Linked DNA regions of Rhinolophus ferrumequinum. The protein of the gene in region 2 interacts with the protein of the main gene of each other region in a biochemical or structural test. Links are inferred from orthologs where the notes say so. Each region holds a gene or a part of one and is shown on either strand. Other genes may lie near its edges.

The links.
Region 1: the proteins of TNKS (region 2) and RNF146 form a complex in vitro, tested with the Homo sapiens proteins (3 studies listed by BioGRID and IntAct, with this or other methods). The link is inferred for Rhinolophus ferrumequinum from reciprocal best matches to the Homo sapiens genes TNKS and RNF146.
Region 3: the proteins of TNKS (region 2) and TNKS1BP1 form a complex in vitro, tested with the Homo sapiens proteins (2 studies listed by BioGRID). The link is inferred for Rhinolophus ferrumequinum from reciprocal best matches to the Homo sapiens genes TNKS and TNKS1BP1.

What each region holds. Positions count from the first base shown.
Region 1 is NC_046286.1:75,586,979-75,596,772, reverse strand, and holds the start of RNF146 (E3 ubiquitin-protein ligase RNF146), read right to left. Parts: upstream 4,184-9,794; 5' UTR 4,071-4,183; intron 4,034-4,070; exon of another isoform or gene 3,902-4,033; intron 1,951-3,901; exon of another isoform or gene 1,925-1,950; intron 1-1,924. UniProt on the Homo sapiens protein: E3 ubiquitin-protein ligase that specifically binds poly-ADP-ribosylated (PARsylated) proteins and mediates their ubiquitination and subsequent degradation. May regulate many important biological processes, such as cell survival and DNA damage response.
Region 2 is NC_046287.1:68,249,947-68,260,331, forward strand, and holds the start of TNKS (poly [ADP-ribose] polymerase tankyrase-1), read right to left. Parts: upstream 4,439-10,385; 5' UTR 4,408-4,438; coding exon 3,735-4,407; intron 1-3,734.
Region 3 is NC_046294.1:11,763,008-11,773,273, forward strand, and holds the start of TNKS1BP1 (182 kDa tankyrase-1-binding protein), read left to right. Parts: upstream 1-5,757; 5' UTR 5,758-5,911; intron 5,912-8,388; exon of another isoform or gene 8,389-8,526; intron 8,527-8,841; 5' UTR 8,842-8,856; coding exon 8,857-8,950; intron 8,951-10,011; coding exon 10,012-10,266. Other genes in the region: FACT complex subunit SSRP1, read left to right, coding at 151-223, 654-792, 912-957, 2,374-2,503, 2,927-3,097, 3,250-3,338, 3,853-4,039, 4,311-4,382.

The DNA.
Region 1 (9,794 bases), on a different chromosome or scaffold from region 2:
TTACTGGCTACTATACAGGGCAGTACAGGTTTAGAATGTCTTGCATATTAACAATTACTTTTTAACACAAAAATGGCAATTTACAACAAGACTCTTTGAATAAAGAAAATGAACTCCATGTTACTTTTCCCATACCTTTGCTGGCAGAGATAAAAAAGAAAATTGCATATTCTGTTGTGATCAAAATTGACAGGTTTAGGTGGTCCCAATTCTGCCAACTGATCCGTTAACTATATAACCATTGAGAACTACAGTACCAAATGGGCACAACACAGGACATGGCATGTAGTAATTCAGAACGAGTATGTGAAGTAGCCCGCAGAAAACTTCTACATTTGAAACCAACGATTTTTTTTTTAATGGAGGGAGGGAGAGGCTTTTACTTTCAACCAAAAATAGAATAGTGTAATTCTAACTACAGGCCAGAATTAATTTGGCAAACATAAATAATTCAAACATACATAATTCCTGTTGCAATGAATGATTTGTAAATTACACACCAAACTCAATACAATTTATGAATCACTACAGTAAAATTTACACAATATCTTGACATGCAAATATCAATTAGTGGGTTAAGGTTCCCTCTTTAGGTGCAAATTTATACAGAAATAAACTATTAGGAAGGTAACATAAGAAACATAAAAAGAGTAAAGATTTGAAACTAAATTAGATATTTCTCTCCCTTAACAATTCTTAAGAAAAAAAAAAGTGACAGACTAAATTTAGAAATACGTGAGTTTAGATTATTATCAGTGAATTTAAATCATTTACCCACTCAACCAAGTATAACTGAAAATGAAGTAATATTGTACTATTTAAAATTTGTGACCACTCAACAAATCCACACTCCTACTGTTTGCAATACTTTCTCTGAAAATATCTAGTATTAATTACAATTCTACTTTTCAAGTAAGTCACAAGGTCAAAAACAAGTTGTTTTTTTCCAGATAGATTCAAATAAATATCTTTTTAAAGGACCAACTAAGAAAAATATAAGCATGTAACAGTTAAAATATCAAATTAGAGAGATTTGAAGACTTCTTATCTTGTTCCAATTATTAACAGCTAATGTTTAATAAAGTAGTTTTTACTCTTTATTTATTCAAAATACACAAAACAAGAAATGTTCTATATAAAAGCTATCAGAGACAGACAAGAAAAATACGTCAAACCTTACAACTTTTGATATACAAACACCTCCCAAAATAAAAGCAATGGCTGGTAAAAGAAAGAATAGAGAGATTGGCTGTAATTTAGCAGATACATTTTAGTATTTCTTAAGAAAGAGTCCCAAATTGAGAGCTGTAATGTAAGTAAATGCCCTAATGTTTTCATTTTTAGCTTTCCTTCTCATGCCCTGTTAAAATTCCACTTAGAAAGCACAGGGCATACTGGGAAACAAAAGCCTTCCATAAAAACTCATTTCAACTAAATGGGGTCCAATGCTTTATTTTAAATAATTATTCCCCTTACTGTATAGCAAGCACTTCCCTTAAAAGACATTACTGGATGGCAATCTATGGCCTTCATAATCTTCATACTCAAGCATTAAACCTTTAAATTTCGCCCCCAAAATTGTGGGCTTTGCATTTTAGTTTAACAAAACATGAAATGTGAATGTGAACAAATATAATCTTTTAATCATATCAAACACAAGTTTCATAGTCTGCAGTCATTTCGTAAATAAGAAAGGCTCTGCTGATAATTATCTGCGTGACCTCGGTCAAGTCATAACTCCCATTCACGTCTTAGTTCTTTCACCCTATTCTACACTTCTATAATTCTAAATTATAAATATTTTAATTAACAGTCATTTAACAACAGGTTTTGTTTTAATTAACCCAAAAGGTAATATACACTAAGTAGTCCATAAATAAGCACAAGTGGTTGCAGCAGAACGTTAGTAAGGTGGTTTCCATACCCACAAAATTGTTCCTAATCCATCCAGTTGGTTCCTTAGGCACAATCAGAAGCCAGGAAAAGGCTCAGCAGCTTGTTACTAACACTGGAAAAAAAAAAGCATTAAAATATCCAACTGACAGTGTATCAGACATTTCATGATAGTAAATGGCTAATACATAAAATAATATTGTCTAAACAGATCAATATTGTGAAAAAATGTAATACTTCCTTTTTCTTCTAAGTCAGATGGTTTTTGGATCCTTTAAAAAAAAAAATCTGCCCAATTCTTCTTACAATTCAAGTTGGTGTAAACTGAAACAAAATATTTTACCAGTTGACAAATGTCTCCTCAAAGAAAAAACACCATTTTTTTCCTTCCTCTTGTCTAATGACCAGCTCTTTGGAAATATAGTTTTCCTGATGATTATAATTCTATCCAATTTTTTCTTAACAACCAGTAAATAACAAAAAAACCTAAAAATGTCTACCATTATTTTCATTTTGCCCACAACTCACATTGGCTCATTTGAAACATAAATTCTAAATCAATAATCGGGCTTAACAAAATGTCCCAATTTAAGATATACACAGCTAAAACAAACATATTCAAAATCTATTTCTAGAGTGGCTTTCACTCTTCTGGTTTTCTCTTTAAAATGAGATTTACCTGACCTATTTTCATGTGTTTTTAAAACATCCAGGCACTTATCACAAACGGTATTTGCTGGTCACAAAAACATCAAAGCCGGTATCATAAATCCTGTGTGTGGGGTCATTTTCTTCATGCGTCCTAGATACCACAGTCTTTTAAAAATCTAAATATAGATTTATTTTTTTTTTAAAAAAAAGTCTTCCAATTTCTCTAATTATATACTGCTTTCAATGCCAATGTTATACTTTCACATACTATTTACAAAGTAAGAACATGGGGTGGGGGAAGAGCCTGAAATGTCAATCATACAAAGACAAAGCGTTTTCTATCATTTCTTGGCTTCTTCTCCCCTCAATTCGTTTCAACAATTCAAAAATATTACTTAAACAAAATGTAGGTATACCATCGAAACTTAAGAAATAAATACTCACTAAAATAGTACTTGGGAAAAGAAATAAAAATATATACGAAAACGGGTAATACAGGGGGAAAAAAAATCTAGTTGCCAGAATGTGTGTGTCAACTCAAAACAATTTTGCACCGTTTCTCTAGACGCCGGTGGAAAATAAAATAGCAACAACAATGGAAGACCCGTACTCTTTCCGACGGGATGAGGGGTAGGGAGAGAACTGCGCACCCAACAACCAGAAGAACAAAGCAACAGCCTCGGCTTTAAGATGCGCTGGGGTGTTGGAGGCTCAAAGGGTATTTAGAGATCTCTTAATTGTTCGGATGCTTTAATAACCATCAAAACGACTCTGATACGCAGCGCAGGGTTTAACTAAGACCAAGTGGTGGAACTACTCTTCGTATAAGGCAAGACCCAGACCCTGAGCAGGGCGTAGGGGAGAAGGAAGAGAAAGAAGCAGTCAAAGACACTCCGGAAAAAGACAAAATGCAGGGACTGTACACCCTGGATGAGATTTAAACCAAGGCCCGGATAGAGGCCTCCACAAGGGAAATAGGAAGCAGGATACCCCCCAAAACCATCGCCGCCCCTAAGTGTTGAGGCCAGAAGGTTCCCGGGTAGAGGCCTGACACCACGGCCGAGAGGAGAAGAGATGGATCTGGCTGCCACCAAAGGTAGCGACGAGGACCCCGGCGGAAGAGGCTGCGCAGTAATGGCCGCTGCTCCGCCTCTCGCACCCTGACCGTGACCAGCTCCGGGCCGTCGCCCAGGACAGGGGCTGCGGCGGTAGCCGGCAACGCAGAGCCCGTCACAGTCTTCTTGCCTGCGACACCAGCCACAGTGGGGGCGGCGGGAAGGGCTGAGCGGTCCCATCCCATCCCGCCCCGGGGCGGACAACCGCGGCCGGGCAGGCCCAAGGGCGTCCACCAACGTACCGGCCCCTGGCCCCGCCGCCGCCCCTCTCAGGCCCAGAACGCAGGGCTGACCCGGAGCGCGTTGTGGCAGGAGGTGACACCGAGGGCCATCGCTCCTCTTCCCGAGTCAGGAACCAGGAGTGACTGACTTCCACCCTGCCCCCCGCGAGGGCTTCGCCCCGACTCCCACCTCTCTGGCCACAGCCGCGGTGGCCTCGCAGTCTTTTCTCGTCGGCCTCGGAACCCGCAGCGGCCGGGGACGCGCGCGGCCGTCACGTGACCGCCCGTCGTGTCGCGGGGGCGGGGCCGCGCGGGGCGGAAGCAGCACCGCGCACCCGGGAGCTCTCGCTAGCCCCTCCCTACCCACTCTTCCCCTCCCGCTCGCTGCCGTTAAATCGTGGTGCCGGTTGCCTGCCTTTTCCTGCCTTTGGGGAGCTATAGTTTCGTTACCTGGATTCTTCTAACTGCTTTATATTTTGCTTTAGTTGTAACTGGGTATAAAGACTGAAAGTACGGGTCCCACAGAGAGAGAAAGAGATTTGGGGCCAAGGAAGTAAGACACGCACAGGACCAGCAGATGGGGCTGCTCAGAAACCCAGCTTCCAGACCTAGCTGGATTTGGGGTTGAAGAGCTCTTGGCGAAGTACTCCTTGTTCTCTTTCAAAAAAAGGTCCTCTAGGACGTTCCAGTTTATTCACCGTCTGGATGGTTGAGTAATTCAATCGAAAAAAAAAAAAGAATCTTAATTTTTGTTTTGGGCCATTTGTCTTAGGCATAGGAAGCTGGAGGAAGAGATTAATCAGTATAAGAATCTAAAACTAAAGAAAATGGCTTATTTTGTTGCATGCCTGTGGTTTTAAACATCAAAATCTAGGCAGTATCCTCCATTTCATTTCAGCATATACATTATCTTTTTCGAAACTGACTGTATTTTCTTCATTTGTTGTAAAATGAACAGGGCGGAAAAGCACGCTTTTGTCTTTTAAAAGAGTATATGTGAGTAAATTTCAACATTCCAGGCCAGTATCTTTTTACTGGCAATGCTATTGCATTTGAGATCTCATTAACTGTTTATTCAAGGCTGGAAGGTTTCAGTGTTCTTATATATAGAAATGTGTACATTTTCTTTTATTCCTCTGAAATCAACGTGTGTGTGTGTGTGTGTGTGTGTGTGTGTGTCTATATATATATATATAGAGAGAGAGATGTACTAGGTCAGACAATTAAGTTCTCAAACTCATCCTAGAAAAAGTGCTGCATTCCTCATTGCTGAATATCACTACGGTCATCTTTAAAGTACTCCCCTTGGGAAGTTATGCCCAGTGACACCAGGGCATAATCCACCCTTCAAAGCAATTTTGGAACTCTTTTTCTGGAATGCCCATCAGAGTTGTCGTCCTATTACCCTTGATGTCCTGAATGTCATCAAAATGTCTTTCTTTAAATATTTCCTTTATCTTTGGGTAAAGAAAGAAGTCATTGGGGGTCAGAGGTGTTCCAATGCAGTTATTTGTCTACTTGCTAAAATCTCCCTCACAGACAGCGCCATGTGACCTGGTGCATTGTCGAGATGCAAGAGCCTTGAATTGTTGGTGAAAAGTTTAGGTCGTCTGACTTTTTCACGCAGCCTTTTCAGCACTTCCAAATAGTAAACTTGGTTAACTGTCCAGTTTGTATGAATTCATAATGAATAATCCCTCTGGTATCAAAAAAGGTTTGCAACATCATTGCAACAAATTCTCGGACTTAATTGTCAGACCCTTCATGTCTGTGTGTGTGTGTGTGTGTGTGTGTGTACACACACATATAAATGTAACCAATTTTTGAAGAATGCTATCTAGCTCAGTGATGATTTTACTCAGGTAAGTAAAAGCAACATTTTTATAAATTCTTTAAATGTGGTATAAAATTCTTTAAATTCTTTAAATATTGAATAATTATTCAATTATATAAATATTGAATAAATATTTATAAATTCTTTAAATATTGAACCATATATTCCCCATCTTTAAACTTAATCCCCTATCTTTATGCTCTCCTTAGCCATCCAGTTTTACCCCACTATCTTACACACCCCATGAAGATACTACCAAAAATTTGATACGTACTTGAAGATTCCAGCTCTACGAGATAATACTACTATTAACTAACAATGTGCAAGGCATTGTTTTAAGTGCTTTACATGTATGAGCTCATAATAAACAGTGAGGTAGGTACTGTTGTTATTCCCATTTTACAGAAATAGGCTCAGCTGGGATTTAAATCCAGACAGGGACTGTAAGAATTCACCTTGTTCAATTCTTCATTTTATCAATTAATAAATAGGTATAACAAATTAAATGACTTGCTTATAATCTTTTCTTGTTGAAGATAGAACCGGGATCAGAACACAGGTATGCTTCCTGATCCATAAATACTTTTAATTTAGGAAAAGTTATTCACAGTTCTTCAGTTGTTCTAGGCACGTATTTTAGAAGTTTCACTAAAATAATATAATTTAGATTATGTTTATCTACCTATCCATCTGAAAGCAAGAAATGAATTAATCAACAGGAATCCCACTAAAATGCCCTACCAGGCTTCCAACCCTCTCAGCCACACCCATAATCGTGGTCATTTCAATAAATAGCTCCATCTTTCCTTATCCAAACCCATTTTTAATTCCTTTTGTTTATGTCCAGTATCCATTTTGCAAATAATCTGTTGGCTCTTCCTTCAAAACACACCCAGAATCTAACTATTGACCACCTCTATTACAAACAACAGCATCTCTTGTTTGGATTATTGCCATAGCCCAAAGCCTGGTTGTCTTGCTTCTGTCCTCCCTTTCCTTTGAGTTTATTCCCAATACAGAGGCCAAAGTAAACTTATTAAAAAGGAAGTCAGATTACACGACCCCTCTACTCAAAGTCTCCCATGGCTTCCCAAAACAAAGTAAAAACCAAAGTCCTTAATAGCTTTAAGACTCCCCTTATTACCTCCTTGACCTCACAAACTGCTCACTCAGCTTAGTGATCCAAGAACACTCTACACAAGGTCTCAACCTCAGTTTTTGCAGTTTCCTGTGCTTAGAACTTTCTTCGCCATCATGGCTTCCTCCCTCTGTTTGTGCTCAAAAGTCATCTTTTCTCTCAGTCCTCTACTTGCCACCCTATTTTAAATTATGACCTCTCCTAGTCCAGATATTTCTTATTCCTCCCTTTACTTTTTCTCTCTAATACTTATCGAAATGTAAGGGATCATTTAGTTTGCTTATTCATCTTATATATCTCTCTACACTAGAACACAAATCACTCAAGGGCAGGGATTTGTATTCTATTTTGTATCCCAACTGCCAAGAATAGCGCCTGACACATTTAGACAAGCTCCCTCTGAATATGTGCACACACATTTATATACCAAATAATATATAAATGAAGAAAAACTTCTTGTTATGTGTCAAGGCATACTACTGCATATATAACTTCTTGTTATATATGCAGTAGTATGCACCCCACCTCCGCCAGCCACCTGAAAGATACTGATGAGTTTTTATCTATGAATAATATAGGACAGCACTTCTCAACATTGTCAGAAGTGTTTTTAAAGTAATTGGTTTCAATAATTTTTAAAATGCCCAAACTTTCAAATGATTTACTTAAAGAAATCAGAGCCTAAAAAATTTAAGGTATGTCTGTAATAATGTTACTGTCACTGGCATTCTATTTTGCTTCACTGAATCAAAGATAAAGGAGTTGCAACAGACTGCTAGGAATTGCTCATCTTTCATAACCTAATGTCTGTTTCCCGCAAGTGTATAAAATGCTTTCATGAATACCACACATCTATCTCCAGGCACCCCTTTTCTCTGTATTCTCTCAACACTCAAAAATGTTTGATGTTATTTATTTTGCTTAATGATCAAAATATTCTTTTTGTTTTGTTAATATCTGGAGACATCCATGAAAATGTGCATGAGAAAATCATACGTGGTATAGTGGAAAATGTACTGAAAACCATTGATACATGTCATCTAGGGCAGTGCTTTTCAAAATGTTTTCTAGTGTTCTCTGGGGTCCTTGAGATCCTTTCAGAGGGTCCCAGACGTGAAGATTATTTCAATAATACTATTAAGATGCTAGCTGCCTAATACACTCTCATTCTCTCTCTCCAGCATACAGTGGAGTTTACCTAAGGCTACATGATATGTGATGTAGAAACATATTGAATGTAGATGCAGATATTAGAATTTGCCTATGTTTCTTAAGCCAGGCATTAAAGAGATTTGCAAAGCATAAAATAATGTCGTTTTTCTCACTCAGTTAAGTTTGTTTTGGAAAATAGTTATTTTTCAGCAAACACTTATGTTAACGCTTAATGGGCTTATTATTTAAAAATGAGTTAATAAATATTTTAAACAGTTCTCAGTTTAGTTTCTAATTTGGTAACTATTGATAGATTAACACTCATATTATATAACAGTTCTTTTGAGTCTTCTGTAATCTTTAAGAGTATAAGGGGTCCCAAGACCAAAAAGTTTGAGAACACTGGTCTGGGGCTATTTTGTGTACCAACCCTAAGCTAGATTTCTTCCCACATGCCAGCAATCATCTGATAACTGTGGACACAACTTTCTCATATGTCTGGAAACAGAACAAACCAGATTCAGGAATGTGCCAGTCATTATAGCTAGCAGATGAATAGAAAAAGCCAAGGGGAAGTTTTGGAAAGCAAACTTTTCCATTTCAGTTGAAGAGCTTGCTCCAAGAGCTGATACATACCTTGGTCTCTTGTACCATTTGGCGGTGTTCTACTTACAGTAATCAAATAATACATACTTTTCTAGTAGAATTCCTTTGTAAATAACAGTATAGTAGACAGTTTTTCCTTTACCTAATGTGATAATTAATGCTCTGACTAGTTCTCAGTGTTCTTACTGCAGCCCCAGAAGTTACAACTAAATTATAACAATTGTATGCCTGGGAAATAGCTCAACACAAAACAGTTATGAGTCAGTTTTACAATTTAGTTGTAGAGTTAAGCATGTCTTTCCTAACTCTGGTTGTATATATGCATGATATATATATTGGTTTTCAGATGTCTTATATTGACAATATTAGCTATTAGTTTATCTACAAAGTCCATGCTTGTTTCATTGTGTGATATGACCTCATTGAGTGTAGTATTGAAAAATAAGAATGAACGTTCTATTTTATTTTTTTGACAGAATCATTTGTTATTTTAAAGCTAGGTTATTATTTTAATAAAAATGACACTTAAACAGTGTACCCTATTATTACATAAAGGAAATAACTTACAGTCGTAGAGGCAGCAAGCGTGTTTTCAATGCCACATTTTCCTCAAAGTGGTTGGAATTTAACAAATCAATGTGAAACAGTTTTGTAATTATGCATATTTGGGCTTTTGGTTGTTTATTTATGGAATTATATGCATATCAATTATCAGTTTAATACAATTATAACCTAGAAACTTGAAATATTTTCATAGCAGTGTATCAGTCAGTGTCCTATTTAGAAAACAGAAGACACTGTATTTCTAAGGGAATGTAATGCAGTGAATTGTTTGCAAAAGTGTTATAAAATAGGAGGAGCTAAAAAGGGGGAGACAAGGAGAGCCTGATATCAGTAACTGCAGAAAGTCACTAGCTCCTAAAGTTGGAGGAGAAAAGTATTTACTCGTGTTCCCACAACCAATTCACATGCTGCTGGAGCACTGCAATAGGAAGCCAGGAGCCCATAGGCTTACAGAGGCTGCCAGAATCTAGGAACGCATAGCCACCAGCAGTCACCTATACCTGCCACTGCCAGAGTCAGGAACAAGAAAAATATCACCTCCTCTCTCCCACCTTCTATTTGCATATGACTGCCTTCTATTGGTGGAACCAAGCAGAAAACCAATGGTCAATAGATTCTGG
Region 2 (10,385 bases):
TTAAAAAGAGACCTCATCAGAATATACTGATCCTTTAACAAAAATATGTCACCACTAGGCACTGAACCAAGGAGATATCATCACTCTAAATTGATACTATTTATAAAGCCTTGACTGCTGTCCTCTGAACAATTGAAAACCTGAGTCAAGGGTCTTATCTGTAGAAGAGAAAGTCTTACATAAACTCTAGTCAACAATAAAAGACTGGGTTATTTTAATATTGCCATCTTAAGAAGGCATTAGAAATAGTTTTGAGAATCTGTATCAACAATGGAAATTGAAGATTATGTTCCTAATTGTGGATGGGGCGATTCCATTATTAATATTGTCTCTAAGCCATATTTAAACAGATAATTATCACAGTCCAAAATGGGATAGAAAGGTTCTTAATTGTGCTGCTGGAAAGAATTATGGTTACTCTTACGATAATATTTTTAAAAGTCACAAGAGTTTCCTATAAAAATGGTTTCATTTCATTCCACACACTCGACTGCAAACTCATTTTCTTAATGGAAATACAGGCATGAATTGACATTCTTCCTTTCAATCTCCATTTGGCTAGCTTGGACTCATCTTTTAAATCTCTGCTTAAAAACTCTCTTTATCTACAAAGACTTCCTTATGTTCTAAAATCAGTACAAGAGTCCCTATTACCTGCTCCAACAGACAGCATGCAGTACTTTTCCTATCACTCTGAGTTACACACTTTGAGGGGTTTTGTTATTATTGTTCTTGTTTAGTCTTCCGCACTAGACTGTAAGCTCCATAATGGTAATGACTAGCTGTCATTTCAAAATTGTGTCAATATTTTTAACACCTGATCTACAATAAGTAATAAAATGTTTGTGGAAAACTGAACTAGAAATTTTAAGCTTTTCCCTCCAAGGGATTGTACCAATTTCCTATCTTTAAAACAGCTATTCCAGGACAACTGAATGACTGGCATTCTAACCAACTGATAATCAACTGAGAATTACTTTTAACTATGCAGCCTATCCATGGTGGAGAAGACTAGACTTAACAAAGCTTTAACTCTATGGACACAAATGTAGGGTATGGTAAACTGACTACAGGGTGTTACTATGTTTTTACACCATGGAGAGTTTTATACTGTGTTTGTTTTGTCTGTTTTCCAGAAATGAAGTAAAAAAATTTTTTCTACATAAACCAGTTCAAGGTTTGGTTCTCATAACTACAGTGTAATTATAGGACTGTTTGTCTTCTAGCTTATCTGGGTACACATAAAACTTTAAAACAGAATAAAAAGTAACTATTGTGACAGAAGAAGTGATTTGGGAAACAAGTCTATTTTATGTGTGGCTAATCATACATAAGTACATTATTACACAAATAAGTATAACTATCATTTGTGATTGCTTACAATGCAGTATGCTGAGGAATAACAAGATTTGTGAAACAATACCGTGTTTCCCTAAAAATAAGACCTAACCAGAAAATAAGCCCTAGCATGATTTTTCAGGATGATATCCCCTGAACATAAGCCCTAATGCATCTTTTGGAGCAAACCTTAAAATAAGACCTGATCTTATTTTGGGGGAAACACGGTATGTTAAAATAGTCAACTTTGGAAAAGTATGCAAAAATAAACAACTTCAAGAATGGATCCAGAGGGGAAAGGAGGTCAAATACATGGTGATGGAAGGAGAACTGACTCTGAGTAGTCAACACACAATACAATATATAGATAATGTATTATAGAAATGTACACTTGAAACCTATATAATTTTACTAAATAATGTCACCCCAGTAAATGTAATAAAAAAAAGAATGGATCCAGTGATCTAACAAATGATTTCCTGTATTTCACATATTGCTGATCATGAGCCATTAAGGAGTCACAAACAGCATTTGTAAAAAATGAAATGGAATAGGATATAAATATCAGAATGCAACATACACGTATGTAATGAGGGAAAGTATTGTTTCCTGAAATTTTTTTTGATTCAGTTTGACGTGTATGTGACAATGTAAAATATGTTTCTAAGTATAGACTGCAATTAAAAAAGCAAACAACAAAAAAAAAGTGTGAATGCTACTCTTGGAGTATATGCCCCCAAGTAGAAACTCTCCATCACAATTATAAAAATGAAAAGTGACATTAACACAGGTATAGGTTATAATAGCTTAAGCTTGATTTCACAAGCTCTAAAATCAAACTATTTTGAGTTAAAATACAGGTTTCACTACTTCTATGAATTTGGATTTATTTTAAGAGTATGTGTTTCACTGTTGTCACCTATAAAATGAGGATAGTACAGGGGTGTCCAAACTTTTTTCACCGTTTTTCACCAAGGGCCATATGCGGTAAAATACACAAACAGCCGGGCCACTCACTCGAGGTGAAGTATGTATTGCCTCACCTGGTTTATTTAAGTCAACTAAATATATTTTTGGAATTTGCTGCGGGCCAATTAGCAATGGATTGTGGGCCACAGTTGGCCTGCGGGCCACAGTTTGGACACCCCTGGGATAGTATCTTCCAAGTTGTGGCAAAAATGAATAATACACAGAGTAAGTTCTTAACATATGTTTTAACAAATTAAAGGCATGATGTATATTAGAAACATACCAAGAAACTTAACAGAAGGTAACTTCTGCTTGTTATCTGGGATGTTTGTGTGTGGGTGGTGCTTTTACATTTTGTATATTTTTGTCCTATATGAATTTTATAATGTATATATAACATGTACGTTTCTAATGTAATGTTTCTGATGTACATAACATTATAACCTTTAAGAAACATCAACAGTAGCTATCCTGGCAGTGAGATCATGTCCTTTGTTTTTGTTTCCTATTTCTGTATTTTATAAAAACATATTAGGTGTTTTTAAAATAAAATAGTCAATGACTGGCTTTAAAAAAAAGTGTGTGCTCCAGGATTTAGGAATTAGCACTTGGAGAACTTATGTGCCAAATGCGTGACTAAATCAGGGTTTAGGAATTAGCACTTTTTGGGAGAACTTATGTGCCAAATGCTTCTCAGTAAACCCTCACACAACCTTAGTAACATAATTTTTGCCATGGGAAAACTGAGGCAACTGACATGAGGTAAACTGTCTGTTAAACAACTAACAAATACCAGTGTCCTGAACTTCAAAGCCTATATTTTTCTACTACCACATCATGCATCCAAATATTCTTCTCCAGTTATTTCATAGAGGCATATTTTGATCTACCCAGTGAAGAATGTAAACTCCTTGAAAAAAGGGAAAACTCACAAACTTCACTCATGTCTTTCACTGGCTTAGAGACTGCTACAGATCCTTAAACATTTGAGTTACATTCAATTTCTTGTGGTCTAGACCGTCCTCATGGGACATATCCTGATCGTAAAAACGAAATAAAGGAGCAAACAAACAGCAAAACTACTCTCTAAGACTGCCCAAATCTAACTTTATTCTTACACACTTGGAGCTGAAAAAGTTTAAGTACACCCATATGCCGAGACTCCAACTAAAGGGATTTGGGTGGGAATGAGTACAAGTATCACAGATGGATCCCCACATTCCCCTACCACGCCCCCCCATCCCACCCCACCCACCCGGGTCACCAGGCACTATCTAAGAAAGGAACCTCTATCTAGTCTTCCGGCGAGGTGTTAAAGAACCATAACCACGCCCACATTTTGTTCCATTACAATAACTTTTCTTTCCCTGCCGGGACCCCTGTCCCCAACGCCGAAACCCTTAATAAATAATTCAAAAGTCACTGACCTGCAGCGAAGTGCAGGGGAGAAGACTTCCGGCCGGCCATGTCCTTAGCATTCACGTTTGCCGCGTCCACCAGCCTCTTTACCCGGGACACGTCCCCATTGCGACAGGCTTCCAACAGTTCTCGTAGGGCCCCGCTCACTGCTGGAACCCCTTGCCCAGGTCCCGCTGCCCCAGGCCCCAGTGTTGCTGTGGTGCTAACTCCGGCCGCCTCGGGGCTCTCCGCCAAGCTCGATCCAGGGGAGGATGGAGAGGAAGATGAGGAAGAAGTCGGGGAAGAAGAGGACGACGGTGAATTGTTACTACTACCGCCGGCTGGGTTGGGAGCGACCCCAACGGCAGACGAAGCAGAAACCGCCGGGACCACGGGAGCGGTGGTGACAGTACAGATTGTGCTGGTGGTATTGCAACAGCTGGTACTGTCAACCGGGTCCGGGGATCGGGGCCTGTCGGGCGGATCCCGACTGCCATCCCCCTCCGGCAGCGCTAGGCCGTGCCGCGGGGAGGCGAAGGGGACCAGGCCACCCGCCGTGGGGGAGGCTGGGGTGGTCCCGGGGGCCAGGCCGGGGCTGAGTGGTGGGGGAGGTGGCGGCGGCGGCGCCGAAGCCCCTGGGGCGGGCTGGAGCTGTTGTTGATGATGGTGGTGATGATGCTGAGAGCGACGCGACGCCGCCATCTTCGGACTCCCCCAGCACTGTCACTGCGGCAACGGCCCCACCCCCCGCCCTCACTTCCGACTGCTGGACCAATTAACATCCAGCGCACAGGAAATGATGCTAGTGGAGTGGGAGGGGTCAAAGAGAAGGAGGGAAGTATTGGGAACTCAGAGAACAGCCACGGGAAGGGGGCGTGGCCTTGTGACTGAGGGGCGGGCTTTGTGACGCTTTGGCGGGCCCGCCCGGGAGATTTGAAAGGTGAACCAGCCTGTGCCTAAATGGGAAACTTTCCTTGCCTCTCTCCCTTTCAGCTTACTTACCTAGCCCTACTCAGTTCTGTTGCTAAATCTCCTTCAGTCTTCCTTATCTTGCCCCAGAGCCTGCTATTCAGGTGTAACTCAGTACAAGAAGAGAATGTGTCGTTTTTCATCTAACAAGTGTCCTCGACTGAAAAAGGGAATAGGATCAACCTCACAGAATTGTTAGCGGGATTAAATGAGCTAACATATACAAAGTGCTCTTGTCGTTAATCAAACGTAACTATAATTATCCCATTGGTAATTTTTTCCCATGAAGTCCTTCCCCCACCCTTCCCCAGTTATTCCCTTGGTCTCTATATCTCTTATTTCTAAATTTTCTCACTCTATGTACTTTGTTAGTACTCCATTCTAAAATGTGGTTCAGATTACCAGGACTGGAATTCAAGCTCTGCCAGGTACTAGCTGTTAAATTTGGGCAAGCTGTTGAACCACTCTGTCTCTCAGGTTCCCCTCAGCAAAATCCAATTAATAGTTAAAAAAATATATTATCTATTAAAATTATGATTTTTCTATAACCTATGTATTTTTATTTCTCACCTTAAACTCAACTCAAATAATTGTGAATGTATTCCTTTCTTTTTAATTCTTTTAGGCTGAACCTCTCCTCTCCTCCATTCCTTTCACCCCTCTTCCCTCCCCCTCCCAAACTAAGGTAAAAACCTGTCTGTTATCTATCACTCATCTTCAGATGCCACTCTAAAGCAACTACTTTTTCTCTTTCCTTTGCCTGTACCTACTTCCTTTTGTCTGCCATCAAAAGAGATGTACATTGCATGGGATAATCTCACTAAGGTCTTCATTTCCGGCCTCCTATCCAGTCGTAAACTAGGCTTGTGGAACTTTAGACAAACAACATTATTCCAATAGAGTGGACCCAGATGGAGATTCTGTTTCAAGAAAAAAACCCACCAAGATTTAGGTGGGTCAAGTAGAAGTTTAGCATTGCAGAATATTAATCCAGGTGATAAATTTTTTTACATGCTATTAAATATAATTAGTGTGGTGTTAATATTCCCATCTAATTGAAGAGGTAAATTTATTTAGGACTACCATTGACATACAACAATGTCAGGAACATAATTAATATTATGAGTGACATTCTCATCTAATCTAGAGTTATAGATTATAACTAACATTATCCATCTGTTTCATAAATGTGTGCCATTGTTCACAAATTGACAAATGTGTGACTGGATAGGAAAACCATCAGTGAAACTAAAATCTGTCCACAACACACATTCTCCTGGTTTTGAATCTTAAATTAATGCACAGCATAGGATAGCATTGAGAAGTGGGGGTGAATCAATGTAATACATTAGACATCAATAACTCTTTCTGCCCCCTTGACTATGGCCTTTTCTCCCTGAATGGAAGACATAAGGACTATCTCACCTGATCCCCTGTTGGCCAATTACTGATATAGATCAATTACTCATAGAACACAATAAAAAGTAGTAATGTTCGCCCTAATTTAAAGTGTGTCTAGTATGTCTGTTTGTCAGTATAAAGTAAATAAGAAAATTTCTGCTGGAGAGAAAAGGTTGAATTGCCTGAAACAGCTCTACTGACTGGTAAACTGCCTAAAAATACATTCGATCAATTGGAAATTTCTTTTATCCCCTCCAGTGAAAGAAGTAAAGGTACTTAACATTAAGTATTTATAACGTTTAGATTTATAACAACTAATATTGAGCTCTAAACACAAAAGGGCATATATCATTACCTAATCTTTTACAGCAAAATACAATTCCCTGAGGAATGAACTATACCCCAGTGAGGAAAGCAAAGTGTAGAGTCAAACAAACCTGGGTTGGAATCATCTGTGAAGATTACTAGCTGGCTAATCTTGGTAGGTATGCTTCAGCTCTGTTACTCTAAAATTCTGTTTTTATTGTCATGAGGATTAAAAGACCTAGGTGTTTTCTAAGCACTCCCTGAATGTTATTTTCATTCTCTTATGTGGCATACATAAAGTTTTAATAGGAACTCATAGTCACTATTGATAGCTATCGCCTCACAACTTCATTTATGAAAAAGATAGTGACTGGGAATAAATATCCACCATTTTACATGTCACACAAATCTTAAGCAAAGAAAGATCAGGTTTAATTGTCTCCTCATCTGAAAATTCAAGATTCTATACAAGCCAATATCTCCAAGACTTGTTGAGGATCATACTTTTGTAGTTTCTTACCATTTTCAAAAATGTTTTCAGAAAAATCATGTCCAAGTGGTATAAAAATGTGAGCGCATAGCACTCTCTTAAGTCATATTGTTGACACAAAAGAAAGAGCCACCAACTCAAAGGGTATTCACTCACCTGGACTGTGCTGTGATGTTTTATTTTTTTCCCCCATGGGGATCATATGGACACACTTTCTAAGTTACACAATCATAAGCTTGCGCAGTCTCCAAATTTCAGTTAGACTTGGTGTGTTTATTCCATCCATATACTTCTCATTGGAGAAGTATAACTTGGATCTGCCCCAGATCCAAGTTCACTGGTAGTATCTCAGATCTATTAAGTTTCCCAAGCCATGATGAATGTTGAACCCCAAGACTGCCTGAGGGGTCATGTACTACCACATACTGACCATAGGAAAACTCTTACCCCTGGTGAAAATTGGAGCAAGGACTTCTGCGAGCAGAGACCACCGGACTTACTGGCTGGGATGGGAATAAGTGGCAGCCAAGCAGTGAGAGGTACCAGTCAATACCTGAACACATAGTGTGTGCCTTCTACCTACTGTCTTCTCTTGCTTTCTTGCAGTTGTTTGGCTTGAAGGAAATAAACGAGTGAAATCTGAGCTAAGTGGTGTTTGTGTGCAATTTCTCTTGGTTTTGCCTACTCCTTCATATCTTGTCTTTGTTTTGATGGTGTTACTCAGAAAACACAGTGAGTAATCTAGAAGTCATTGAACCTTTCTGTAAACCCATCAGCAAGGTGGGGATATTAAGAGTTGTGAGACATAAATGAGTTAATATGTGCCAAGTGCTTAGAACAGTTTCTGGCACATGATAAATGCTATGTAACTGTTAGCTGTTGCTATTGCTGAGAACTGGGGAAGGCCTCTGGTATGAGATGTGAATAGGTTACCTGGGAGACATGACTAGTTTTGCCTGCCTGCCCAATAACAAGCAGGTTTGTTTTCACCCAGTAATGTTGACGTCCAACCTCTCGTACCTACTTCTTTTGCGTTACAGTGCCATAAAGGAATGTCTATCAAGCTTGGAAACTGAAAGGGCCTCTTATATTTGGTGAAATGCAAATTGTCCCTTCTGGTTGTATCAGGGTGTGGGGGAGGTGGAGAGTCTGCAAAGGAGGACACCTCAGCCCGGAAGTATGCAAGTTTATCCCTCAAAAGATTCTGCAATACCACAGTGTTGAGAAACCACTGTGGCTTTTGTGTGGGAGACCAGCACAGCTGCCAAGACCACCTCAAGAGAAACCAAACTCTGCCGTAGTTCCTCAGGTCCCTGGGACCCAGGATGTTTGCAGAAGAAATCTCCCACGGAAGATGAGCTTACCACCATAAATCACCACATATGTGAGGAGGGCCAAAAACATAAGGAAAAAAGCAAACCCAACAAATGAAAGGCACTATAATGGAGGAAATATAATAGAGCAATCCAAAAGAAATTTTAATATCCATATTTGGAGCTTGTAGGCCAAATAATGACACCCGAAAGATATCCATGTTTTAATCCCAGGACTCTGTGACTATGTTACCTTCCATGGAAAAATAGATTTAAGCTTGTGGATAGAATTAAGGTTGCTAATCAACTGAACTTAAAATAGGGAGATTTAACTGGGTTATGTGGGTGGGTCTCATGGAATCACAGGTGTTCCTAAAAGGAAAAAATGGAGACAGAAAAGGAGATTGCACTGATACCATGTGAGGAAGACGCAGCCATTGCTGGCGTTGAAGATGAGGGAAGGGAACCACAAGCCAAGAAATGGACAGCCTCTAGCAGGTGAAAAAAGTAAGGAAACAGATTTTCCCTCAAAGCCCTGGAAAGGAATGCAGCCCTGCCAACATCTTGGTTTGAGGCCAATGAGACCCATGCCAGATTTATGACTGCAAAACTGTAAAATATTAAATTTGTGTTATTTTTAAGCTATGAAATTTATGATACAGCAGCAATAGAAAATTAATAGAGGACTTCTTTGGAAACTGAGATGGCATGAAGCCCCCACCCCCCAGCCTAGGTTTCCACATGGCAATAGACTAAAGTCCCACAGTTGCTGCCACTTGGAATTGCCACCATTCCTTTTGCTAATTTATATCTATCCGGCTTTACTCAGTTAAGGACCTGGTCCCTATAGGCAGAGGCATATTTTCTGTGTGCCAGGTGCCATACCATGTAGAGATTCCCCAAATGAATTAAACCTGGTCCTAAATGTTGAGTGTTTGTGGTCTAGTGGGAAAGATAGATTCATAGACAGATAATGTCAACACAATGTTGTGAGTGCTCCAAGGGCAGTGCATACAGGATACGCTGGGAACACAAAGCAGTGTGTAGCCCAGCCCTGGGTAAGCGTACAAGGAGGCCATGACCCCATGTCTCAAACAGTGAGATCCTAGCTTCAAACAGCAGCAGTATCACTATCACAGAGTACATTCAATGGGAAAAATGAAAGTATATTTTTGTGCTGATAAGAATGTAATAGAAAGAGGGAAATTTCATGATGCAGGAGAGAAAGGAACATGACTGGGGCAATGTGTTCTTAGGTAGGTGACAGCGTTGCGATCTAAAGGACAATCACTAACTGTTCATCCTTCGTATCAAGGAAAAAGACAGAGTATGTGGGCATAGATGCAATAAATGACTATATATCGTGGTGCAAGATTGAGAAAGACTCTTGATTGCTTCTACTTTCTCAGTGAAATAGAAAACAAACAAAGGGAGATTTTCTGTTTCTCCCTGCATCTCCTTGGCCCAAATTGGGTCACGTGCTCGTTTCTAAATTAATTGCTGTTGCCAGGAGAACTCCATGCACTGACTGACTTGGGCTTGTATTTCCAAATCAACCAACTCTAAGGGAGTTGGGCTTGAACTGATCATGACCCACTCCAGGGATCAATTCCCCAAGTGACGTGGCTAATGTTTAATGGGAAGAGGAAGAATGGATTCTGGGAAGTCACACATATGTCCTCCTCACTTTCCACAATCACAGTTCCCAGCCCAGGCTGACCTCAAAGCCCTAAGCAGAGTATATTCGTTTCCTAGTGAGTCTATTCAAAATTACCACAAATTTAGTAGTTTAAAACAACACAAATTTATTCTCTTAGCATTCTGAGGTGAGAAGTTTACAATCAGTTTCACTGGGATAAAGTCAAGGTGTCAATAGTGCTGGTTTCTTCAGGGGGCTGTGAGGAGAGTATCTGTTTACTTGACTTTTTCAGCTTCTAGCAGCTGCCTATCATCCTTGACTTGTGAGCTCTCCCTCCATCTTCAAAGTACATCACTCCAATCTCTGCTTGATCATTACAGCACCTTTTATCTGGTTCTGACTCCTCTTGCTTCACTCTTAAAAGAACCATTACATCTGGGTTATTACATCTGACTCACTCAGATAATCCAAGACAAATCTCCCCATCTCAAAATCCTTAACTTAATCACATCTACAAAGTCCCTTTTGCCATATAAGGTAACATTCGTGGGTTCTGGATCGA
Region 3 (10,266 bases), on a different chromosome or scaffold from region 2:
GAGTGTCTTTGAGCTGTTGGGGTGGATAATGTGGTCAAGAGCTCCAGGCCCCACAGTCTGTCCCAGCCCATGGGTGTCAGAACAACGTGTGGTCTGTCCTCCCTTTGGTGGCCCTGCCTGTCTGGTAACACGGTGCGTCTCCCCCCACAGGGAGGAGTATGGGAAGCTGTTTGATTTTGTCAACGCAAAAAAACTCAACATCAAAAACCGGGGATTGAAAGAGGTACCTCTGTGTGTGGAAAGGATGAGCCTCTGCCGGTCCTTCTGTAGTGGGGAAAGGGGCAGGGATTATTTCCAGCTTTTTCATTCTCTCTTCTCTTCTTACCCTTATAGAAAAAAGAGGTGCGTGTGACCTTTACCCCCTCCTGGTACAGGTTTCCTCAGCATGACCTTAGCTCAGTTTCTGCAGTCCCTGAGAAGCCCCCAGTGGGGCTGGGAGAGGGAGGGAGGGGCTTGGACTAACCCAGTTGGCAGGAAGTGGTCGGGCGAAGGCCCTGCACGTTGGCTGTGTGTGGACAATCCAGCCCCAGGTCTTCTGGGAGTTGCTGCTCTGATGTGAACTCACAGGCTTGGGGCAGTGCTCCCGAGCGTGCAGGGAGGGGTACTGGCAGCAGGGCCAGTCGGCCCTCACTGTCCTCTCCCCTGGCGGCCAGGGCATGAACCCAAGCTACGACGAATATGCCGACTCGGATGAAGATCAGCATGATGCCTACTTGGAGCGGATGAAGGAGGAGGGCAAGATCCGGGAAGAGAACGCCAATGACAGCAGCGATGACTCAGGAGAGGAAACCGGTGGGCTCGCCTCGGCCGTGCCCGGGCATGGGGTGGTCAGACGGTCCAGGTCTGGGTATCTGGGTGAGGGGGCAGGGTTTCCATGGCACACAACTGATGCCTTCTGTGTCGTTTTCCAGATGAGTCGTTTAACCCAGGTGAAGAGGAGGAAGACTTGGCAGAGGAGTGAGTTTTGGTTCCACCTTATGGGGGTGACGTGATGGCCTCTGAGCTTAAAGGACCAGAGATTTCTGGACATCTTTTGTGTCCCAGCATTACTACTGACCCAGGGTGGAAAAGTGACCTCCAGTGAGGTGATAGATGGAAATGCTTCAAAAATCAAATCGTCAAGCACTTTGTAAGTGCACGGCATGTTGTGAAGCCAGAGAAGTATAGTGGGGAGAGACTGGGGATGAGAGCCACTGCCCCACTTAACTTGCCGGAGTCCTTGGGTCCATCATTGAATCTCAGCGTTTTCAACTGTAAAACGACAATAGTGCCCCCGTGCTGTGTTGATCAAGACTCTTGATAGCCAGTGTCAGAAATAGGACTTGAACGGACTGTAGCTTAAAAGGGGATTTTGTAGGCTCATGTAACGAGAGTCCAGGGGTGTGACTGGCTTCAGGCACCTGGATCAGGCACTCAGCAGCTGTGGGGAATCTTTCTCTTTCTTCTGATTTCCCTATTTTCTGGTAGGTTTGCCCCATGCAGTGCCAGATGACCCTCAGAAGCTCTGGGCAGGCTTAATCCTACTCGTTTAACACCCAGGAATGCTTCTGCGCTCAGAGCAGCAGTAAGCAGCGTGGTTACGTGGCCCTTCCCAAGTGTGAGTTATGACGATACGCTCTGAGGGGCTAGAACTAGGCCGTGTGCCCACGGCCTGTGGTGGGGTTGGCCCCTTCTGCATGGGGCGTGGTGGTTCCCAACAGAAAGTTGGGACTCTGAATCCAGAAGAACTCAGAATGAATGTTGGGCAGGAAAAAGAAGAAAATCTATAGGAGTCCACTACTTCTGGGCGCCACGTGCTTGTTCATAGTGAGTCTGTGAGTTAAAGGCTTATGAAAGGGAGAACCATTGAGCACCGTGTGGTTTGGGCAGTTCTGTTTTCTGAGGAGTCCTGTGTGTGTCCGGTAGGACTGTGACAACATCAGTGCAGGCTGGGTTGGAGTGGAGTTGGTTTTTTCCCACTTTTTATAGTAACTGTCTCTTGATCAGAGAGACTAAGGGTAGAGTAAGAGGAGTAACCCGGAGTCGTGAGGTGGACTTGGACATGTTGCTGAGACCGTTTCTGTCCCCGTTCCCGGGAGCATGGGGATGGAGGAGGCCTTGGGTTAGGCTGTGACCAAGGGGAGCAGATGAAGTCTGTTTGCTTTTCTTTGACTGATTGACCAAATAACCCATTGCTATAGCTGGGTCTGGAGAGGGCATGGTTGAAGCCACCTCAGCGAAGGGCAGGAAGAGTTGGGGATGCTGGTGGAGGCGGCCCTGTGGTCCTCCCGCCCCCATTTCTGGGTGGGTGTCTTTGGACTCCTTTCCTGCTTTGAGACCATGGGGTGCCATCCTCTGTCCCTGAGTGAGTCTAAGCCCCACTCTCCTTGGCAGGTTTGATAGCAACGCCTCTGCCAGCTCCTCCAGTAATGAGGGTGACAGTGACCGAGATGAGAAGAAACGGAAACAGCTTAAAAAGGCCAAGATAGCCAAGGATCGCAAGAGCCGCAAGAAGCCTGTGGAGGTGCTGCTTCTCCTGAATGGGAGGGTGCTGGGGTGCTGCTCCCTGTTCTCCCGTCCACCACCCTTAGGGCCTGTGGGTTGGGGCTGCTTTTTGTAGCCAGTGATTAGGGCCTTGAGGAGTAGCTTCTTGCAAATATTTCTCTCTAGTCCTTGAGATAATTAGCTTCTGGGAGTTCTGACCTAGGAGACGGGCTTCTTTTGTCCTGGGAGCCCAAAAGAAAGGGGCCCCTAATGAGCTAGGTACTGGCGTGCAGAGGGGAGGAAGACGTGGTCCCTGCCCTTAGGGAGCTCCTAGGCAGCTTGATGCAGTTTAGTCCTTGCTCTGTTTTGTCCCTAGGTAGGGGATCCAAGTAATTTCTTTGGGAGAATGTGAGGGAGAATGTGGGCTATAGTGCTGAAGGCCTTTGGGTTCTTTCTTGTGTAGGTAAAGAAGGGCAAAGACCCCAATGCCCCCAAGAGGCCCATGTCTGCCTACATGCTGTGGCTCAACGCCAGCCGAGAGAAGATCAAGTCAGACCATCCGGGCATCAGCATCACGGATCTTTCCAAGAAAGCAGGCGAGATCTGGAAGGGGATGTCCAAAGAGAAGAAGGAGGTGAGTACCAGCAGAGACGAGGGGTGGTAAATCTTGTAACTGGTAGAGGGGGTGGAGGGCCCTGGTGGAACTTCTGTATAGGTTTTGCCTGTGTCAGGGAACAATCTAATTCTTCTCTTCCCCACCCCCCGACCCCTGTGTGTGTGGGACAGGAGTGGGATCGCAAGGCTGAGGATGCCAGGAGGGAATATGAAAAAGCCATGAAAGAATATGAAGGGGGCCGGGGTGAGTCTTCTAAGAGGTGAGTGTTGGGAACAGAATGTCCCAGTAACTGCTTTTTTGACAGATATTTTTTGCAGGTCCAAGTTGAGAACTGGGAAGTTAAATATAACAGAGATGCTTCTGACTTCAGTAGGACAGTGCTTCTCAAACCTGGGTAGGCAGTTGCCCAGTATGGGTACTGTGCTAGAGAGTTTCTGAAGTCGCTGGATAAATATGGCCCATTTTCCTAGAGGGTCAATTTTATTTGAAGGTACGGGGTAGCTAAAAATATATATGTTACTATGGTGCCTAATTCATACGAATTTTTACGATAAAGCAAGAGATGTCAAGTTAAGTTTTGCATATAACCAGGCTGTGAGGCCTGATTCTTCTTGTTCTTCACTTATGATGCTCTCTCTTGGGGCACTTGGGCTGACATGGCTGGCTGATGACACGAGATGGGCAGTGTGGCTGGGACTGGGAAAGGCCCTGGTAAAGCTGGGGGAGGTTTGACCTTGATGATGGGGAAACCTTTTCCCTCTTGCTAATAATAGGGACAAGTCAAAGAAGAAGAAAAAAGTAAAGGCAAAGATGGAAAAGAAGTCAGTGCCCTCTAGGGGCTCGTCATCCAAGTCGTCGTCAAGGCAGCTGAGTGAGAGTTTCAAGAGCAAAGAGTTTGTGTCCAGTGACGAGAGCTCTTCAGGAGAGAACAAGAGCAAAAAGAAGAGAAGGCAGAGTGAGGTGTGGCAGGAGTTTGGGGGTTGTGGGGCTTGGAAGGGTGAAGGGCATCTGAATTGGTATGGGGGGTGGCAGCAGGTGCTTCTGCACCAGGGATTGTGGTTGGTCCATAGCAGTAATGGGATGGAATGGATAGGTGGAATTCTGGGGTTCTGAAGACTAGTGTTGGACGTTAGGGAACGGTAGGGAATTAGGGGCCCTTCACCACTGACAAGTGGCTGGGAGGGCAGCCGGGACTCTCCACCTTTCCCCTAAAGAGACGTTTCATTTTCAGGACTCTGAAGAAGAGGAATTAGCCAGTACTCCCCCCAGCTCAGAAGACTCGCCGTCAGGATCTGATGAGTAGAGAGGAGGAAAACACTCTCTCCTTGGGCTTGCCCTGTCCCACCCGACTCCCCACTCATGTTTTGGTACCAGTTTCTCATATGAAGTGTAGTCTTTGGATTCTGTGCCATCTGAACAAGCTCTTCTGGTGGTGTGCACTTGGCTGGGACAGCAGGGGAGGCGTCTTCCTGGGTTGCTGCTTCACGAAGATGCCTCTTCATAACTGGGGGAGAGATTGGGTGGGAGGCAGGGCAGTGCAGGTTCCAAATCCTCGCCCTACTTTCCCGACCTTAGGGATATAGCTGCTGCTTGTCCTGTTCAAGTTGCTGCAGCTGGGGTCGTGTGAGGTCAGGCCTGTAGCTCCTAACGGGGGCCAATTTCTACTTTAATTTTGTATTTCTGGTTCTGTGAAAATCATTTAATAAAGGGAACTGACTTTGGAAACCATGTCCTTATGCCTCCTCTCTAGCCCTGTTGTATTGCGCCCACTTTTCTTGGTGGTGTTTACCACACTGCTGTGACTGGGCAGGCCTTGCTGGCCAGCTGGGAAGCAAGTCTCCAGGTACATCCTGTTCTGTTCCCGGCTGGACAAGCATTGGTTTTCACCCTCTTCAGCAGGGATGGGCCACCTGAGAGTCTAGAAATGAGAGCTGATCTGATTAGGAAGTCTCTCTCACAGCTCCACTCCATTAGCCAAGCTAAGGAGAGGCAGCTACTGGCTCCATCCTTAATCACCTATGAGTCAAGGGTCTTCAAGGCTTTAGATAATGGAATCAGGATTGACTGGCCTCTCTGCAACCAAGACACTGGAAACCTGATCCTGGAGAGTTGGGACGATGAGTGGTGTGGGGGTGGAGGTAGCTTTTGTTTTTATATGAAAAAGGGTATATCAAATTTTGAGGTCAGGAAGAATTTATATCTGGGAAGGGAGCATAACGAGATAAATAAGGAGTAGTGAGGGAAATAGAGCTTCCAGTCTTCCTCACTGTGGCTCCAAATCTGAATTTACACACGTGGGGTGGCCACGTTGGGTAGGCTCTAAGGTGCTTGCCACAGAAAGCCTCCGCAGTCGGCCAAGGGTTACCTTCTTTCTCGCCGCGACTCTATGGTACTGCGATCAGTTCAGGCCGTTGGGCCTGAGAATCGGGCCGTCAGCTTAAGTCTCCTCTCTAGGCAGTCGTCTCGGTGGCCATTTTGCCCCAGCGTTTTTAGCGGCTGAATTGCGTCAGTTTTACCCGGGTCTGAGGCTGGGGCGGGCCCCTCATTTGCAAGATTCATGAATAATTGAGTACCTGGGCTGCTGCTATTTGCATACGGTCAGGCGAGTTCTGCACGGGCTTCCCACTCCGGGTTTTCACTGTCTCATGGATATTCATGAAGCGCCCTAGGGGTGTGGGCCTGGGCGGAGCTGGGGCGGAGCTGAGGGCGGGGCCCCGCCGGGGCCCGCTCTGGCTTGGTCCCCGGTGACGGCGGCAGCAGCGGCGGCGGTGGCGGAGACTGGCGTCGGGGTGCCGAGCCCGAGCCGAGCGGAGCCGGATCCCGGGGGAGCGCGTGAGTGCGCGGGGGCGGGCAGGAGGGCGAAGGAGGGGGCGGGGTCCGGGATTGGGGCGGGGGAGAAGCATGGAGGGAGTGGGTGCTTTTCAGCCGGGACCTCGGGTTAAGGTGGAAGGGGGGTGAACGGGAAAGTTTGCAGGGGCCGGGGGCGCGGGGGAAACCGGGGACACGCGGGAGCTGGCGCATGTGCGCGAGGCCGGAAGGTGCACGGTCTGGAGCTCGTGCTGGCCGATCCAGAAGAAAGGGGGGAGGGGGCGAGGGCTTGAGGCGGGGCCGGGGGCGGGCGGAACTGCTGGAGGGACCCCTGCCTCCCCCTTCCCCAGGGCCCGCGCTAGCCCCCTCCCTCGGCTCCCTCGGCACGCCCCCAGCCACCCCAGTCCGCCCCCACTCGGTCTGCGTCCTCAGTCCCCCGTCTGTTCGCCGGCTGCTTCACATTCTGCGTACAGGTCCTCCCGTTCTGCCACCCCCTTCTCCTCCTCCACCCTCTCCTCCTCTTCTTCGGCTGCTGCCATCCCCTCTGTGTCCAGAGCTCCCCACTGGGCCTCTCCAGAAGGCCCCTCGCCCCAGGCTGTTCCGTCTTCCCGTTGGCCCTCCCTCTTCCAGCAGTTTACGTGCTGCCCCTGCCTACCTCTCTGGCCCTGGATCCGCTGGAGATCCCAGGGACCGTAGAGGCGACCCCGCCTGCGCGGATGCCTCTCGGGGCCCCTGTCCCGGGCAGGAGCTGCCTGGCCTCTCCGCAGCCCTTGTGGCAGCCTTTGCTCCTGGGGGTCAGATAGGCCCCCCCTGACTCCTGGAGGTTGCAGGGAGTGCTCAGAGCCGCTGTGATTCTGCAGCTTTTGGCAACGGCCTTGATCACCTGCGTTTCCTGGCTGGGGCCTCGGAGCTGCTGTGGCCCCTCCTCAGTTGGGGAAGCTGAGCCCCCACTTCATTGCTGCACCCCCTCATACTGCAGAGGTGCCCATCAGGCTCCCAGGTGAAAGAGTTTTTCAGTTCTGGGCCAGTTTGTCCGCATTTCTAACCACCTACACCATGTCCCTTGTGATAATGTTCAAGGACAAGGAAACAATCTTGTGTTTTAATTTTATTTTTTCTATCATGTGCCCTTCCCCCATGCACTCTTGGGCTGGCTGTGCAGTTAGTTACTTACCCACCCACAGTGAGCAGTCCTCTGTGGAAGGTGGTTGACCAAGGGAATTGATGGTCCTGGGTTTCTCTCTACTTAGCTCTTCATACTCTCTGCCATCTTTGAAGCAACTTGGGGCAGGGTCAGAGGAGAGGGGTGGGCGAGTTTTGCAAATGTTGGGCATCAGAAGGCCTTTCTTAGGAGTTGGTGCTGTTTTCCCAGACCAGCTGCAGTGGGTGACTTTGAGGAAGGCAGTGCCCATTGGGTTGTCCTCAAGGGCTCTGTGCATACCAGGTGATAGGAAATGTCCTTCTTCCTTTGTGACAAGAGGGGCAGTACTTTGTCCCCCAGGCTGCAAAGCCTGGGGTGCGGGTGTTGTGGGTGGGATGGTGCTCCAGCAGCCAGGATGAGAACTAAGGAGGTGGTGGAGTGTCTGAAGGTGACATAACTGGGACCTGTGTGAGTGAGGGAATGGTCTGGGGAGAGGAGGTGGTGGTTACCAAGGATTTTAGCTCATTGGTGACACCGAATGGAATTGTACTAATAATTGCCAATATTTATTGGGCACTTATTATGTGCTGGGCGTTATGCTAAGCAGTTTGCATGCATCAACTGCCATAAACCTCCCAACAGTCTCAGTAACTCCATTTGTCACATAGGGAAACTGAGGCTTGGAGAAGTAAGTGCTGTGCCTAAGGGCACACAGCTAGAAAGTGGTAGACCTACCCAATATTGAATCCTCGCATATCAGAACCTGAAGCTTGTTCCTGGTACTGGCTTATTCGGTTTCTACCATAGGGCTGTGTCACTTGGTTTAAAATTTCTTGTGCTCCCTCAAAACTCCTCAGGCCAACCCTAGGCTGGTGAAGGCTGCCCATAGGCTGTGGCTGTCCCATCCTCACTGTCCTAGAAGGGGGAACCCCGGAGTGTTTTCCCCCAAGCCACCCCACTCCCGGATGTTCTCAAGCCTCAAGCCTTGTCCCATTCTCCCAGCCCAGGCCTGGGCCGGCTCCTCCTTCCTCTTGGCTCCGCTCTGGAAATCCAGTGGGAGGCCATTGCTATGGCAACAGGACTAGGCCCTGGCTTTACCTCATCAAATTCCAAGCTGAAGCCAAAGCGATTGAGAAATTAAAGAAAAAAATGTATTCCAGATGTTTACTTCTTATTCCTTATTTTTCCGTGTTTGGATGAGACAGCTCTGAGGGAAGCGGGAGTTGGGCAGGGATATGGAAGGAGGAGGGGGGAGGGGGGAAGAGGGAAAGAGGGAACCACTCCCAGCTGCAGGAGGGAGGGAGGGAGGGAGGGAAGGAGGGTGAGCGGAAAGGGGGAGGCTGGCAGTGGGGCGGAGCCCCAGGTTGGGGAGGAGCGGGTTTTTCCCGTCTCCCATGAGGTGATTCACTGAAAGACTAAGACTTTGGGGCCCTCTTGCTCTGCCCCTGAGTATATACCTCAGGTGGGGCTGCTGGACCCAAGGGGTACCCTGGGAACGGTAAGTGGGGTATCTTAGCTCACCAGAGGAGGAAAGAATAGGTAGCTACCTGAAACTTCAGGACTTTGGGGTTCGGGGGCCAGAGCTGGAGAGGAATCTGGGAAGAGTTGAGGATATGGCAGCTGGGGACCTCCCTCGACCTCCCTCATCCCCTCTGAAGTTCCCTCTTCCTGTCCCACACTCTGCCTCAGCTAGGAGTAGGAGACTTCCCTCGACCACGCTTACTGCCAGCGCCCAACTCTCTTGCCTTTTCCTCTCTCTCTTCCTGGGCTTAGACCCCAGCTCACACTCCTCTGCTTCTCAATTCTCATGCAGGTTCTGCCACATGTGATGAAAGTGTCTGCTCTCCGGGAAGGCACAGCCATGGCTTCCCCACCACCCCAGGAGATGGAGGAGGAGCTGGTATCTGCTGGCCCTGAGCCAGGTGCCTATGGGTGCAGGGTGGAGCAGGGTGGCTGGGAGGACGGTGGGAGGGGCAGAGGTTGAACCCCCATTCTGTCTTGAAGGGGGTGGGCGAGTGATGACTGTTGAGGTGGGATGGGAGTGAGGGAGGGAAGAGTGTTGAGGACATGCAGGATGAGTTTGAAAGGTTCTCAGTTCCTGGTGAGACTCTTCAGAACTGTTTGAGGTCATAGATCTCTCACAGGTAGGAACAACCTTCCAGATGATGTGGATAAAGGCACCTGTTCTAAGAGGAGGAAATGGGGACCCAGAGGAGATATGCGTGCACGTGGCTGTTTGAACCCAGGCCTCCTGGCTCCTGTCTAGATTCCTTTCTTAGGCTGAGCCAAATGAGTGGGTGATAGAGGATTCTATTAGAAGGGCCGTGGCCATGAGTAATTCCAAGGTCTTTTATTTTGCTTTGGAATGCCTTATATAGAGGTAGGTTTCTGGTCTTGTTTTTTTCCCTGTAGCAGATGTACTTCTGTGTGGATTAGATCAATAGTAAGTTTGCATTCCTGATCACACACCGGATGACAGTGGGAGGTGGCCTGGGTGTGTAGTGGGGGAGGGGCAGCCAGGAGGCACAGTGGGGAGACTCAGCCAGGATAAAAAGCTTACTATGGTGGTAGGATAGTAGAGTGTCATGTAGGAGGACTGGACAGGATTGGGGAGATGGTGGGGTGACTGCTTGATATGGGAAGGTAGGCATTCGTTTATTGGCTCATTTGTCTGTTCATTCATTCGTTTGATAAGAAGTCATGCGAGGTGCAAAGTGGAGTATAAGGAGAAATAAGGTGCCAGCTGGACCCTTAAATAGCTTTAGCTTATAAGGGAGACTGATTAAACATTTTGGGATTGGAGACAGGAGGATGCTTTTGTGATGTGTGTGGAAAATCAAGGAAGACTTCATGGAAGAGGTGACATTTGACTTATGCCTAGAATGAAGTGAACATTTTGAATTTATAGGGGATGGGAGATGAAGTTCTGCTTCCTCATTCTTCTGACAGCCTCCCCTCTCAACCAACCCTTTCCTTTTGGCAGGTGACCCTCGGGCCAAACCCCCTGTCAAGCCCAAACCCCGGGCCCTGCCCACCAAGCCAGCTCTGCCTGCCAAGCCCACCCTGCTGGTGCCTATTGGGCCTCGGCCTCCCCGGGGTCCCTTAGCTGAGCTGCCTTCTGCCCGGAAGATGAACATGCTGGCAGGACCCCAGCCCTATGGTGGCAGCAAGCGTTCCCTACCCTTTGCACCAAGACCGACAGCCGAGGCCTCTACTGGAGAAGAAGCCACCCGAGAGA